Rhinolophus ferrumequinum: one gene and its partner. The protein of the gene in region 1 interacts with the protein of each later gene in a biochemical or structural test. Links are inferred from orthologs where the notes say so. Each region holds a gene or a part of one and is shown on either strand. Other genes may lie near its edges.

Region 1 (7,405 bases):
CAGGTCAACCTTGCTGAAGAAACAAACTGCATTTCTGACTTTCCTGGCATATTCTCTTCTGGAGTCCTTACATCTCCTGGACGTGAACGATTTTTATTTTCCTCTCGCACTCCTGTTTCGTTGACCAATAGGTTGGGTGTGAAGTTGCAGTCCTGCCTGGGGATGGAACTGTTGACAACTTCTGTGCTCCCTTTTCAACCAGGTCCATCCCCGGGACAGTTAAGAGGCTCAGGGCGTTGTCAACAGGAAGTGGTATTTGAAGTATCCAGCAGTCGCTTAAAAATGCTCTGCTGACTCTGACTCCGGTAAGAATTTGGGGAAAACTCCGTGCGTGTTCTGGAAACAGGGCCCTGTGCCTGCACCCCTCCCACTGTTTAGTGGGAAAGCAATAGCCCAAAGTTAAAAAAAAAAGAAAAGAAAAAAAAGGAAAAAGAAAGAAAGGAAGGAAAGCAGAATTGGGATGACCCTATGTCTTTGGGGACTAAATCTTGACATTGACCATGGGACTCAGCTGACATCCAAAAATACTGCCTTTGGAATATGACTGAATCACCAGCCCATAGAGCTTATCTAAATCTATGTCGCGGGCTACCTTAACCAAGGCACTTTCTGAGGCAGAAAGCGTCTCGAGTGTCACAGTCCCAGCTAAGGAACCAGCGCTCTGACACCACAGCAGCATAACAAATCCTAGGATAATTAAGTCCTGCAGTTTACAAACCAGAGCTGTAATCAGCTTTTACAAATTACGCATTTCTGCCACTTGCATTTTAATGATTTATGTAGTTTTCCTTTACTTCAGTCGGGTTATCCATTTTAGATTAGGAAACCATGCACACCTGGAAAGCCCTGGTTTGTTAAAGTCCTATTTTGATGTTAATTCATGATTAATTAACAAATAACACTTGGATTCTATGGAGGAATTGGGTCTCCCATCAAAGTTGTCTGTTACTGCACTAAACAAGTTGGGAATTTTCCATTTCCATTTTGTGTATCCAACTCCTGTGCAATTCCAAGATTTAACTTGGAAAATGGAAAGTGTTCCCATACAGCTTTAAAAAAAGCAAAACCAAATTTGAACTGTGTTCTGCGGATGCTTTGACAATTCCGAACGAGTACTTTTCGAATGGTGCTTATGTTTGAGAATGAAATTGCGGGGGGCCAGAATAAAATGAAGGTCTATGTCAAAACCAGTGTGTGTATGAAGAAAGTCGTATATGAAATGGGGTCGTCATTGTCAGAAATATGCAATATGCCATTCCTCTTTTCCTCTACGTCAGTTAACGCTTATCACTTATACTGTCAGTAACTTGTTAAATCAGGATTTGACTCATACACTGAATTTTCAGGATTTTATCTCAAGTAATTATAGACACTAATCTCGATAGTAATACATTAGAGGGTTCTTATTCTTTCATGTACGATAATGCCTTTAATATGAAATGCTACATTATTTATAATTGGTATAGATAATGTATCTTTTTATAGTTGTAAGTAAACAGAGGTGGTATATTTAACCTTCTGTAATATACTGTGTTTAGAAATGGAAATCTATATAGTATTAGATTTCACTTCTTTGAAGGTTTACTCCTGTGGTATGGCTTAAAAATCGATTGGCCTGGGAATTCTGATCCTAACTGCAGATTGTGTTAACAATGTGATGATAAAATAAATTGGATATTTGACAAACATCATATTTTTTTCATTTAAGGACTAAACCCTTTTCAGTTCTGTGGCTGATCTTTCTCTTTCTTAGACCTTCTGTTCAAAATGGCTTGTGAAAAGCAGTATCAATACTTAAGAATAAAATCACATTTGCTCATTTGGTCAGGTCTAGCGTTTACCATGAATGTGACGCCGACTTCTATGGCCTTGGGGGTTAACCAGGCAGTGAGCTCGGCCTCAGAGGCTCTGCGTCGTAGCTGGCAACGTTTAAACTGTCGTCTAAGTTGCTGGAATCTCTTGTTGTCATTAAGTGATGACGATGTGTGATGTGCAAAGTGGTGGAGAAGACTGAATGGGATTCAAAGAAAACACTACGTTCCGTAACTGTGGATGAGGGCGTAATTTACCTAAATTTCTAAGGCTTCGAACCGAGATGCCTCCATCACCGAGTCGAGAGCTGACCCTGCAGCGGGATCAAGAACATTCCCTGTATGTGGTCAGGTCTACCAAGTTCAACCTGTGCCTTTGATGTTGAGATTCCAGGTCACTTTGGCCATGCAGTGGCAAGGCACCACCCTTTAAGAGGAAACTTAAGAGGGCCTTGGATCCGATCCCTCATGATGTATGCATGTATGAATGCACTGATGTATTTAGAAAACTTCCATTTCTCAATTAAATGGGAACAGAAAGTTCTAGGGGAACGACCTTTTCCTTCATTTGGTTTACCAAAACATGACTCTCTGAAGGGAACTATTCTGGGGACATGTGTGTGTGACTTCGTCCACTTGTGTGCCGGTGGGGGGTGGGACCCAGAAGGTTCTCTGAAAGTGGATGGACACTTTGCAGTAAATACCCTAGCTTTTCCTGATGGGAGACGAGAGCCTTTTTAATATCCTTGTTCCTCGCATGTGGCTAACGAGCTTGAAGGTGAAAAATGAGGGGTGTTTTAAAGAAGCATCCAAGGAGGAATGTCTGAGGAAACTGAGTACACAGTTGAAGAAAGATGATGAGAAGACATGGGGTAAGAAGGAGGCGGGCAGTTAGCCACTGTGCTTTCAGAAGGCAGAAATGTTGGGTCATGGAGGTGGCCTCCAGGTGACCCCACCTTAGAAGCAGTCATTCCCATATGAGATGCTGAGAATCCTGGTAGGATGTGGAGCAAAAGGTAGCGGACCCTGGGTCAGCGGCGTTCAAGAAGAAACTGACCTGTGACAACCCTCCCACGCAAAACTGTGACTGACTCATGCCTAAGAAACAGAATTAAATGCTAAGACAGAGCCAGCTCGAAAGAGTCCACCCGTGTGTCTGATGTCCCGGCCGTTTTCTACATTGGAGACATTCCTGGCCTATTCCCAAGCTCATTTAAAAGGGAAGTTTGAGTTGCCCCCTCTGCAGGGGCCACGTCCTCTCCTGTCTGCCCTGGCACTGGGCGTGCGCTTCCTCACAGCGCCGCTAGATGGCGGGGCTGCGCGCCCTGGAGGCGCAGCACCACCGTGGCCAAGCTCCCTCAGCCTGCGGGCGCCGCCACGCCCTTCAAATTATTAGGGACACTTCCGTAGCAATCTCACTGCTGCCTTTTGCATATTGGAATTAGGACCGCAGTGGTGAGAACAGCGTTGCAAAACTGCATGCACCATTTGGAAGGGCGTCCTGTAGCAGGGGAGCTGGAGGGGGGGCCTCGTGGGAGCAAAGCAACGCTGCCCGGTGGTCCCCTTGCCCTCCGGGGCCCAATGAACAGCTCCAAGTGGCGACTGCCGGGCGTGTCCGCGAGGTGCAGGCCCGGATTTTGTGAAATGGCAATGTGGGTGGTGGCCATTTGTCTCTGTGCCTTGTGCTAAATCCTGGGAATATTCCAGTCACAATATTGCATGAGAGGAGCCTAGGGTGCGGGTCCCGCCAGGGTGCAGAACCTTCTGCTTTGTTCCATGAAGGCTTCTCTTGATCCCATGGGCTCGTGGAGCTGAGTCGGATGCTGGCCTGCTGTGGACGTGCTTCTCTATGATCTGCGTTTCGATAATGGCCTCCATGGTGTGATCATATATTTATATTAGGTTGAAACATAATGAATTGCCAACATCTTTTATCTACATCCCCGCCCCCCAGCAAAACCCCAATTGAAAATGTTTCACCAAATAGTGACCTATTGACATATACACCCAGAATTAAGTTGGTAAATTCATGCGGTGGCAGGGGTGCCCTTTGCAAATATTAAAGCTTTAAAAATCCATATTTCTATACTGCCTTATAAAGAGTTGAACACAAATGAATGTTCCCTCTCTTTTTAATATTTACCGACAAAGTATATGGCCAACCACACGCAAGCCAGACGTGAATCCGCGTATTTTGCGGCTGGGCAAGGCAGAGGGACAGCGTAAACTGGGTTGAGCCCAGAACCCACCCATGTTATCGCCGCGTGTGTCATGCGTGGAGGGAGCAAGGTACCCAAACCTGGAGGGGACGTCACGCTAGAAGGACCCGTGGGCCCTGTCATCTTCTGGGCATGAGCGGTAAATTGGATCGCCTGCGGTTTCCGAGCAGGGAAACTGAGGCGGGACTCCTCCGGCGGGTTCCGGGAGCACCAGCTGCAGCCCATCCTCGCCCTGCGCGCTCTTCGCGCCGCCCGCCCTCCACGCCCGCTGGCGGCCGCAGGATTGAGGAAGTGCGTCTGGGCCCGGCCCGGCCCCGGCGCGCGCGGCCGGAGGCTCCGGGGGCGGAGGGCAGTGGCACGGCCAGGCCCCGGCCCGCTGGAGAGCGCGGGGCCTGCATGGCCAGCCCCGCCGCCGCAGGTAAGCGCTGTCCCGCCTCGCGCCCGGCGCCCCGTCCCGCCCGGGAATCCGGCTGCAGCCCGCGGCCGGTCCGCGTGGAGCCCTGGGCCCCGCAGCTCAGGCCCGCGCCCCGGCGGCGGCCGCGTGCTTTGGCCAGGGTGGCCCTTGCCCAGGGGCGACCGAGGGCTCCGGGCGACCCCAGCCTCACGGTGCGGCTGTCTCCCGCCGCGCTGCGACCCCAGGCAGCCCGCGGGGTGGGGGTGTGCGGGACCCCGGAGCGGAACCCGAAACCTCGCCCTGGACGGTGCCGGGGCGGGGGGAGCGGAGGCAAGAGACAAAAGTAGGAAAACACACCAGGGTGTCTACCGGTCTGCGCAGCCTCTGCTGCAAACCCCTTGCTTCAACTTGGAGCGGGCCGTGGGGAGCGCGCGTGTGCAAGTGCGTGAGTGTGAGTGCATGTGTGTTGGGAAGGACCGCCCGGCGTCTCTCTCTGCCCGGGGCGGGCCTGGCGATGCGGGGGGTGGGGGGGCCGAGCTCGCCGTCACCCTCCTCGAAGTCTGAGGTTTGCTTCCAGCCCAAGCAAGGGTCTGGCCAATACAAACCGGCGTCTCAATGGCGGTCTCTGTGGGCGACTTCCCTGGCAGGCGCGGGGAGGTGAGTGCGGTCCGGGGCAGGGGGATCCTGGGGGGCAGGGGGGTCCTGGGGGGCAGAGGGAGATAGTGATGGAGCATTTGAGGCCCGCTCAACCTGCCCCTTCACAGTTCGAGGCCAGGAAGTTTCCCTCCCACAAAAGCATCCCCATGCAGGAGTGGGATGTAAGGAAACAGGAGCCTGGAGTTGTTTTCACTGAGCCGCTCACCAAATACGTTCTTTTTAGCATTTGCCACTCACTCATATTGTATGAAAATTCTCTGGACATTATAAAGGGACAACTAGAATATGCACAGTTTTGGGCAACGTTAACATTCAGTAGTTTTTTGTGATTTGACTTGTTTATCTTTGCATATGTCCAGACAGAATAAAACAATTAGATTAAAAGTACACACACCTCACACCTAATTTTGTGCCTGAAGATTTTGGGGTCTTCCAAACCTTTCCCACCCGCAGGCTTTTTTCATAGCTCAGGGAGTGGTCCCATCTACAAAGGACGAATTAGCCTCCATTCCATTCACTCATCCCTTGATTCAGTCTGTTAGCAAGTCCTGTTGTGTTTCCCTCTAAAATGTGTCCTGTCTGTCCCCTTCTTTCTGTACTTTCTATACTGTTACAGGCCTCCCTTCATTTTCTGTTTGGCAGCAAGTGATATTTTTTTTATTTAAAAAAAAAATTTTTAATATCACATGAAGGAAAGACTTTATCGATGTCTAAAAAAATAGACAATATGACAAGTTACCATAAAAAAGTGTTTCCTGATACATAAGGAAATTCAGTATTATTCTAGCTGAGGATCTGAACTGAGAAAATATATTTGAGCACAGCTTGTGAAATTTAAGACTTTTTTTTTTTTCCGTGATCAGAGGGTATCACTGAACTCACAACCAACTTGCCAGTTCAGTATGCAGTTCGGATGGGAGACTTCTCTGTACGGCAGTCAGTCTTATTCTTGTAGTTGTCAAACAGGCAAACAGGTTTGTCCCCACTTTGTAGTAAGTTAATCTTCCTGTTAGCAAAAGAGGTCACCAGCCCCCATGGGCTAAAGGGACTGGAGTCACAGGATGGGGATTTGCTCTTAATACTTTTTTATTTTGATGTTTGGAACTCTTGATGGAACATTCCAGAGCAAGATGTTCAGGACCTGCTGTGCCCAAGGGGCATTTTTTTTTAACAGGTAAACCACAGAGTGTCATTTGTCTGCTTGGAACCCCTCAATCACTTCTCCTCGTGAGTGGCATGAAATCCAGGAGACCTTCCCCTCACACCCCCGAGTAGATCTGGCCTCTGCCATCTCAGACCACCTGGCCATTGTCCCCAGCCAGCCTGGCCCGTCTCGCTCTCCAGCACGTGGCCTCTGCAGTGCTGCCCCATGGCCAGCCACCCTCTAAACCCAGCGTCTCTCTCACATTCCTGTCTCTGTGTCCTACTTTATCTCCTCCGCTTCTCCTTTAGTTACCTGGAAGTCTCCACTGGAGCTCCAGGGGTCAGAGACCCTTCCTGTCTGCCTACCTTGCTCACTGCCACATTGTCACCTCCAGAACCATCCAGGAGGTGCCAGCCTCATACTGGCACATTGACCAGTGGTGAACGGACAGCCTTCACTTGATTGTGGTTTCATAGTCATGAAGGGCTTCTGTCCCCAAACCCTTGGGTGCTCATCTAGGATTGGGATGGACCCATTTCTCTGGTCTGCAGCTCCATGGTATTTGGATGTCCTCAAATCCACTGAACACACTTGGTAGGCAAGCTGGGATTGGTCAAGGGATGTTGGTGCCAAAGGGACATCTAGGGCCGTGGGCCAACTGTCTCCACCAGGCTTTTGATTCAAAACGAGAGAGGTGATGTGAGCATTTCCAACATGCTTCACTTGCAAATATCTTCCAATTCCTTGGTACAGGCAATTCTTTCCAAGCCTCCTGAAAAGACAGGTGACCAGCTCCAGAATCTCCTGTTTCTTCCCTGCCAGAAACTTTATTGCAAATACTTATTTAACTACCCTCCCCACCAGCTGTAAGTTTTATGAACTCACAAAGTTCACTCTTTATGGAAAGGGCCCAATGAAAACATTTGTAGAATAAAATGTCAGGTTCCTTTTTTTCTCTTTCATCAAGTATTTGCATTTATTCATTAGAATAGTTATAAAGCGTTGGCAGAAGAAAATTGGTGAGGTTTTAAAAGTTGTTAAAATAATGATTATTGCAGAAAACCTCTTGAAGTCCTCTTTAGGATGTATATACCACAAAGAAAAGAAAACAGGTAACTTACAAACCATGTTTTGTTGCATTGGTCTGAACCCAAAAGAAGCAGGAAGAAGCAAAGATCTG
Region 2 (7,963 bases), on another chromosome or scaffold:
AAAAGTAACAATGATAAGTAAGGTGTTTTGAGCCACTGATGAATGCAAAAATCAGACATCATTCAGAATTGGTTAATGAAAATCAGGAGATCTAAAGGAATCACCTTTTTAGCAGGAATCAAAACAGACTAGTGTTATGGTAATATGTTAGAAAACAAATGGAATTTCTTTAACAATTTGTAGACTGCTGCCAAACATCTTAAAGCATTTTAAACATCATGTACACCTGTTCAAACTCAATGACATAATGCATTTAGCATAATTCTGTTTTCAGTTTCATACAGAAAAAGTTTCTACCAAAATTGACAAAATTAGTACTGAAAAGGAACTATAAATGCAAGGTTCTAAGTATAAACTACAGTGGTACCTCAGTTTTCAAACGTAATCCACGAGTTCTGAAATGTTCGCAAACAGCCGACAGCTAGGCGCCTCAAGATCTTGCACTCAGCGGAAGCCGTGTGACATATTCGACTTCTGAGTTGTGATCGAAAATCGAAGCATTTACTTCCGGGTTTACAGCGTTCATAAACCAAACTGTTCGTCAACGGAGACGTTGGAAAATCGAGGTACCAATGTACTTAATACACTGCTTTATTAATCATCTTTAATATGAAATTAACAGTTTTCTAGTTTTTAACAATGTAGAGCTCTGTGACACTGTCCCTTACTCTAGTTTTCAATACTGTAGTTCTCTGTTACATTATCCACGTGGTTTCAAATAAACTTTAGTGGATGGGCATTCGCATTTTCTCTATTTTTACTTACTTTCTGAAACAGTTCCTTAGTTTTTCGGTTAATATTATTAATACTTACTTTTTTTTAATTAAAGTTTATTGGGGTGACAATTGTTAGTCAAGTTACATAGGTTTCAGGTGTACAATTCTGTAATACATCATCTATACATCCCATTGTGCATTCACCACCCAGAGTCAGTTCTCCTTCCATCACCATATATTTGATCCCTTTTACCCTCATCTACCACACCTTTCCTTCAATATTACTTAAAGAAAGCAAAGCTTACAAAAGTTTAAAATTACGAGAAAAGTCCTTAAAATGAACATATTAATCAGTCTTTCCTCCTCAGCTCAAGGGTTAAAAACGTTATATTTTAATGACCTGTACAGAGTCATCAGAATTTACTTTATATTAATCAACATTAAAATATAATAATACTCAAAACCAGAGGCTTTTAGAGATGAAAACTTGACTGCATTTGTACCTATCACACACAGAAATTATTCCAGTCTGAGGACAATGACTCAGCTTGAAGACGGAGGGGCAACACCCTCACTGCTTTAAAGAAAAATACTTTCTGATTAGGGGAGAGAGAGACACCTGATATGGTTGAGAACATGCCCTCAAAGTTCTAAAGACCTGGGGACATGCGTGTGTTGCTTGTTATGCTTTTATATAAAAATAAACATTCTTCAGAAGGACAATACATAGCTGAGGGCACTGATCTCTAGTTTTGCTCCACTTTCTCTGGGGGGGGGGGTGGGAGTTGATGTAAAAATATTAATGTTAAAAGTAATGGGGAAACATTACTTTTGTCTCATTCCATTTGTCTCTTTGAGCAGAATCCAGAATGTGGTTTTGGCTCATGTTTGTCTAACAGCTGCCATCCATGAAATCATTGTGGGTGGAGTTTCTCATATTCTCACTCCTTTCTTGTGGTAGTAATAATAATAAGTGCCTCATTTGCTAAGATATACTGTGGTTGTTAATACACTTCCTTGGAAAATAGACACCTCTTCTTGCTTTGGTATATTAATCGATGGAGATACAGACAGTGCAATGCTTCTTAAAATTTCTGGCTCACATACTCCTATACTCACCCAGAACCTGGAGAAAATTATGAAAGAAAATTCTGTGTAGTTTCTGGGAGTTGTGGGTGCGTTCATAAGATTTTCATTTAACTACATCTGCACACAATTTACACAGTAACTTTAGTGACACAAAAGTTTATAGGAAGTACATAAAAGTTTTTCATACACTGTTAAAGGAAAAAAAGTACTTCCAAAATTTAACATAAATTATTTAGAAATTCTATACAAGCCTACCACAATGTTAATCATTTACTAAAATCTTAATCAGTTAAGAGGGAATAACTGTGACTATCTTATGCTTTCAGGCCAATGTCTAGCACTTTCAAGATGTCAGCACAGTGTCTACTATGGAAGGAGACTAAAGTTAGTGCTGAATACAGTATGTGGGGTTATGGGGAAAAGGGAAGCTGCGGTGTCTTTATTCCACAAAGTACATAGCTATCCTTCACCCAGCAGCCCATTTGTCCTTCTTCTCTCTAATCCCTACTATCAGATGGATTCCTGCATTTTTACACTTTTTTTTTTTGCTCTGAAGTGTTCTGGAGCAAAGAACTGATCAGTCACATAGGGGACCGCTAAACTACTGCTTCTCTTAAAAATGCATAATAGGAAAGTAAGTTAAAAACATTTGGGAAGACCGTATACCGGCACACAGAAGGTTCTAGAAGTTCTGTAGACTCGGAGTGTCACTGTCCCTAATCTCAAATGACGTCACTGAACTTTTATCTTTCCTTATTTTTCTCCGCTCCCAAACGTTCAGGTCTGTCAAGGAACATGTGGCCGCCAATAACGCGCTCACAGATTTTGCTTAAGTCGAATGCGTTTCCTCTCAAGCGAGGAAAGGAAAATCCACCATGAAAACAAAACTGCACCATCTCCATAGAAAACAAGTCCCAAGCAAGCAGCTCCCCTTGCTGCAGCCTGCCCGGGGGCTGTGCCCGGGCCGCCCCGCCGCGCACGGCCCCGGCCAGCGAACCCGCCGCCGCCTCACCTGAGCTCCAGCTGGTCCAGGCTCTCCAGCAGGCGGCTCGAGCGGTCGGCCATGGAGGAGGAGCGGCAGAAGCGCCCCTCGTTGGCTTTCGCGTTGATCTTCGCTTGAGCCATCTGAGCCTCTGAGGCGGGGCGGTCGAGAGGTCACCGGCCTCTCCGGTGGCTGGGAGTGGAGAGCTCCCGCGGCCGCAGGCGTCGCCGTCACCGCGCGGGGCGCCCGCCTCCCTCTGACGCCCGCGGGGGGCGGCCCGACAGGACGCCAATACCGCCGCTGCCGCGTGGCCAAACAAGGACAGGCGCGCCGCGCGCCCGCGGGGCTCGGGGGCTGCAGAGCCCGCTAGGGGCAGCTGCCGCGGCTGCGGGAGGGCACTAGCTGTCACCGGGGCTCGAGGATGGGCCCTTAGGGTTAGGGGGCCTGAGGAGCAAAACCAGGCGGCCTCTGAGATACCTGGAAGGACGAACGCACCAGGCGGAGGCCCTACCGTGATCCGCGCGGGTCCTTCTCTGCGGACCCTGGAACCCAAACCGATGCGGAGAAGCACAAAACGCCCCGCCCCCATCCCCGCCACCCCTACCTCCGTGAGGCGTCGATTCTCTGTGCAGCCCCCGCCAAACCACCTCCCTACACGCTGAGGGACCTAACGGTAAGCTGTGGATGTGTTACTCGGTGATGGCTTCGCTTAATTTCTCCCAGCCCCCGTAATTCACAGCAAACACCAAAAACGTTAAGTCCATGGATATGTGGAGAAAAGGTCCCTTTGTGAAAAGCCATTTAGTACAGTTCCTCGTCAGTCCATACTTGCTTGACCTGCCCTGTTACCACTTTCCAGAAATGAGAATGATAGCCTGATAACACCACTTAAGGTATAAGGGAAAAAAGAAAAAGTGACCCCATCTTTCTCTTTCCAGCTGGATGTAGGAAGCAAGGGAATTTATAATAATACTTCATTTCTACCCATTCTAACAAAGGAATTTTTAATGAGTTTTTTTCCTATTAAAAATGATTTCGGTTGGAATTTGGGTGAAATAATTGGTATGAAGGCCATTTCACACCCAATTTATGTAAATCTGTCAAGAATGAAAAGATGCAATAGATCACTAGGTCAGATATAAAGGTCAGTAAAAGTGGGGTAGAGCTGGGAGTACAAAGATTTATATACTTAAAACCGGTGATTTGCTCCCATCTCATAGCTATACTTCATATTGTGAGGATGAAAATGAACAAGGAACATAAAATGATACATAACAGTTTAAAGCTGAATCACAACCTTTAATCTGAGATCAAAGCCATTTAAATACTTGAACAGAGGTGAGGCCCTTCAATCTGGATCCCAATTCCCTCTAAACTCAATCTAAACACTAATACACTATTGGTGTAGGGGATTACTTGACCTCATTAAATATATTTTGTCATATCATGACACATACTTGGAATCTGAAGACATTTTGTGGTTTAAAAGTCTATCAAGTAATTTTAGAATCATCCTGGACTCTTTTTTCCCCTCATATACTAGACCCAATCCGTAAGTAAATCCCGTCAGCTCTACCTTCAATTCAGATTGTGTCCAAATTCGTCCCCGCAATTCCACTGCCACCACTCTGGTCCCAGCCACCATCAATTCTCACCTGGATCGTACTGCAATATCCTCCTGTCTGGTCTTCCTGCATTTACTCTTGCCTCTCATATATATTCTCAATACAGTTAACTACCGTAATCCTTTGAAATAAGGCAGATCACACCACTTATTCTCAGAAACCTTCAATGGCTCATTTCAGAGTAAAAGCCAAGGACCACAGAAAGGCCTCAGCAACTTCACCTATTACTCTCTTAGCTCATACTAGCATTCCTGCTTTTTCATGGGTATATCAAGCTGACCTCTAGACCTTATCACCCTCCATCTGGCACTTTTTTCCTCATACATATTTGCTCACTCAGGTCTTTGCTCAAGTTCACCTGGTCAGGATCCTTCCTGACCACCCTATTAAAAATAGCAAGCCCTCTGCCCCCACACTTTTCTTCCCTTCCCCATTTTCCTTCATGACATATCAACGATTGGATACACTTACTTATTATCTATGATAACACTATCCAAACTCCTCTCTCCCAAAGTGTGCTCCATAGCAGAGCAATGAGGACTTTGTTTTGCTCACTGGTGTATCTCAAGTGCTTAGAGCAGTCACTGGCACATGGTAAGTACTCAATAAATATTTTGAGTGCGTGAATGAGTGAATAAATGAATGATGTACGGAAAAGATAGGATCTTTGTCGATGTTCGAGACATTTACTTGGGTAATTTAGTAATCCATATAACTTTAATGTCACCCATTGATTACATCTCTTCCTTGTATCTTAATTAAATTCAAATTATGAAGTAATTTAAAAATGATTTTTAATTACTTAACAAGTAGAAACACAATCAGTGACAATTATTAATTAAAACAACCCAATTACCTTTTTTTTTTAAGGGTCATGATGAAAAGATTCAGTTACTCTCTACCAGCAAAAGCTTCTTAATAGAGCTCAGTATATATCACATATGTATGTGGCACCTCTGGCAGAGAAGTATTGGTTCCTCTCCGCCATGTCTGTTTAATCACATTTCTTTCTGGAATGTCCTTTCTCCTCACTATTGAGCAAGCTCCTGTGGATGTCTTTAATGTCTGACTCAGTGACTACCTCTTAAAGCCCTGCTTGATCAGTTTAACATACAAATTAAAAGCACAATGTGGTCATTTTGGGAAAATAATTGGTGAATTCTCACTCTACAATGTCAACTTAAAAAAAATGCAAGCAGGTACATTGACCTGACATCTTAAGAAACAAAAACACAAACTGATTTCTAATGTGGATTGAAAAGACTATACTAATAAAAAAAACAGCAATGCTATTTCACAATAAAACATGTAACTGCAGAGAAAGAACAAAATTCTAGTCATGATTCTTTTCTTAAAAAAAATTATATTTATAGAAAATTTTAAGTTTGTTAATTACTATTCAAAATTTTTAGGGATGACATTTCTGGTCAATAACATGAAGCATATACACAAATATAGTATGACAAGCCCTTCTTAGTGTTCTAATTATGTAATATTTTATTTTTCACAATGGGGCCTCAACATTTAAAAATTAAATATGTAACACCAAATATAGAAACCTGACAAACAACTTAATGAATAACTAAAATGAAGATACTTTTATATGAAATAAAAATTTTAAAGGGTTAAAGAAGATTATTCCTGAGTAAGACTTGAACATTATTTTTTAAAGATTATGTTTACACAAATATATAAAAAGGACTGATTATTAAAAATAAGTTTAATTCTATGCAAATATTTTGACACCATTCCCTTTAAACAGTAGGTAAATACAAGTCACATAAAAGTCTAAGCAGGTAAAAGGAATAGAAAAGATTTCTTTATACTTATATTAAAGAAATTAGGGTGTTCTTTTTTATTCTAGCAATGTGCAGCTCTAATTAAAGCAGGGAAAAACATCGGAGTGAAATCCACAAAGAACATTGCTGGTAAAACTTTTAATCTATTTCTATGATCAGTTACCATTACTCTCTTCTAATAATCACAAAGATCTCAAAGGTATTCTATATATTAGTATCATATGAGAAGTAGAATTTAAGAAAATCTAAGCTTTGAAGGCTTTATTTATATTCATTTTCATTCCTAAAAAAAATAAACTAGAATCATCTGTACAGTACAAATAAAGAACTAATGCTATTTGGGAAACAAACAATAGTTGACAGCTTTTGTATTTTTTAATTCTTTTAACTTACATATATGAATTTAAAGTTGACTGGTAAAGTAGTACCTATATTAGAATACATGATTTACATTTGCATTGACATATATTCTATTCCTCTGTACATATTCTCAAAACAGCACAAAAATACAAAGCAAATATCAAAATTTGAACATGAAAAAGCAAAAAAAGCATGTTTTCAAACACATCTGTACTAGTAGAATTCTGGCCTCCTTTAGAAAACAAACTCGAGTTCATTATCCTGAGTCTCTTCAAGGCTACTTGATGTTGTGTGGTAATATCTTTAATTACATTTCCTCAAGGCTTCTTCTAATAGCTTCTTCTAATTCCACATCTGCATTAAAAAACAGAATTTTAATACTTAGGGCAGAAAACTAAGAAATGTACTTTATGTAAGTCTCATCAATTACATGTCTTTTCAAAAAGCAAAGGAAAATCAAAATGGAGAAACAGGATAACTTGGCAGTTTCTCCATAATAAAATTTGAATATTTCAAAACAAGGGAATCTGGATATATAACCTTAGACTGAATTATAACATATATGAACATAATGTGCTAAGGAACTTGCGAGTTATTTCCATTTAGGAATGTAGAAAGTCAACAAACTTCTAGAATCACTGATAGGTAATCACTAAATTCAACATTAAAAAAAACCTATGCACTTATTTCCAAAAAGACTTCAGGTAATGCACATAAAACTTTAAAAACAGAAACAGAAAAGCAAAACCATGAAAATGCAAAATCTCACAGGCTATTAAAATTTTAGTTTTAAGCTTTCTAGCATCTAAGGCAAAGATTGAAACTCATGGCTATATAATATCTTCTGAGAAGCATGTATTATATACACATACGCATTCATTTAACAAATATTTATTGAATGCCCACTGTATATCAGGCACAGAAATACAATAGTGAACATGACATTCTTGGGTTCACGTCTTTCTCCATTTCCTCTCTAAGAATGATACTGAAGCCCAGCAGGTCATGGAATTAAGTTCAATTTCTTGGCCTTCACCAGCTTCTTACACCAGATTTATCTCATCCCATTTAGTCTACAGTCTCTCAGAGCCTACTTAGTTCATAGGACCAGTGATCCCTCTACGATGCAATTGTACCTTCCTATGAGCTGGGGCACTGGTGTTATGTTGTCTGTAATCTAAAATACTACAACCTAGTATACACTGTGTTTTAAGTTAAAGCTAGATTCTAGGGCTGTGAATTGTCCAAGGATGAATTCAAAGGGATGAAGTACAAAGAAAACACAAGACACTCTTAGCAAAGAATAAGGTGACAAGATGAAAAAGTATTATAAAGTTACAGTCATTAAGAGTATGGCACGAGTGCAAGAATAGATGAATAGACCTAAGGAAC

What was found.
Region 2: the proteins of LRRK1 (region 1) and BAG2 form a complex in vitro, tested with the Homo sapiens proteins (2 studies listed by BioGRID and IntAct, with this or other methods). The link is inferred for Rhinolophus ferrumequinum from reciprocal best matches to the Homo sapiens genes LRRK1 and BAG2.

The regions. Positions count from the first base shown.
Region 1 is NC_046311.1:12,590,876-12,598,280, forward strand, and holds the start of LRRK1 (leucine-rich repeat serine/threonine-protein kinase 1), read left to right. Parts: upstream 1-4,326; 5' UTR 4,327-4,426; coding exon 4,427-4,448; intron 4,449-7,405.
Region 2 is NC_046286.1:24,054,616-24,062,578, reverse strand, and holds the start of BAG2 (BAG family molecular chaperone regulator 2), read right to left. Parts: upstream 3,087-7,963; 5' UTR 2,931-3,086; coding exon 2,818-2,930; intron 824-2,817; exon of another isoform or gene 1-823. Other genes in the region: E3 SUMO-protein ligase ZNF451, read right to left, coding at 6,879-6,925. UniProt on the Homo sapiens protein: Co-chaperone for HSP70 and HSC70 chaperone proteins. Acts as a nucleotide-exchange factor (NEF) promoting the release of ADP from the HSP70 and HSC70 proteins thereby triggering client/substrate protein release.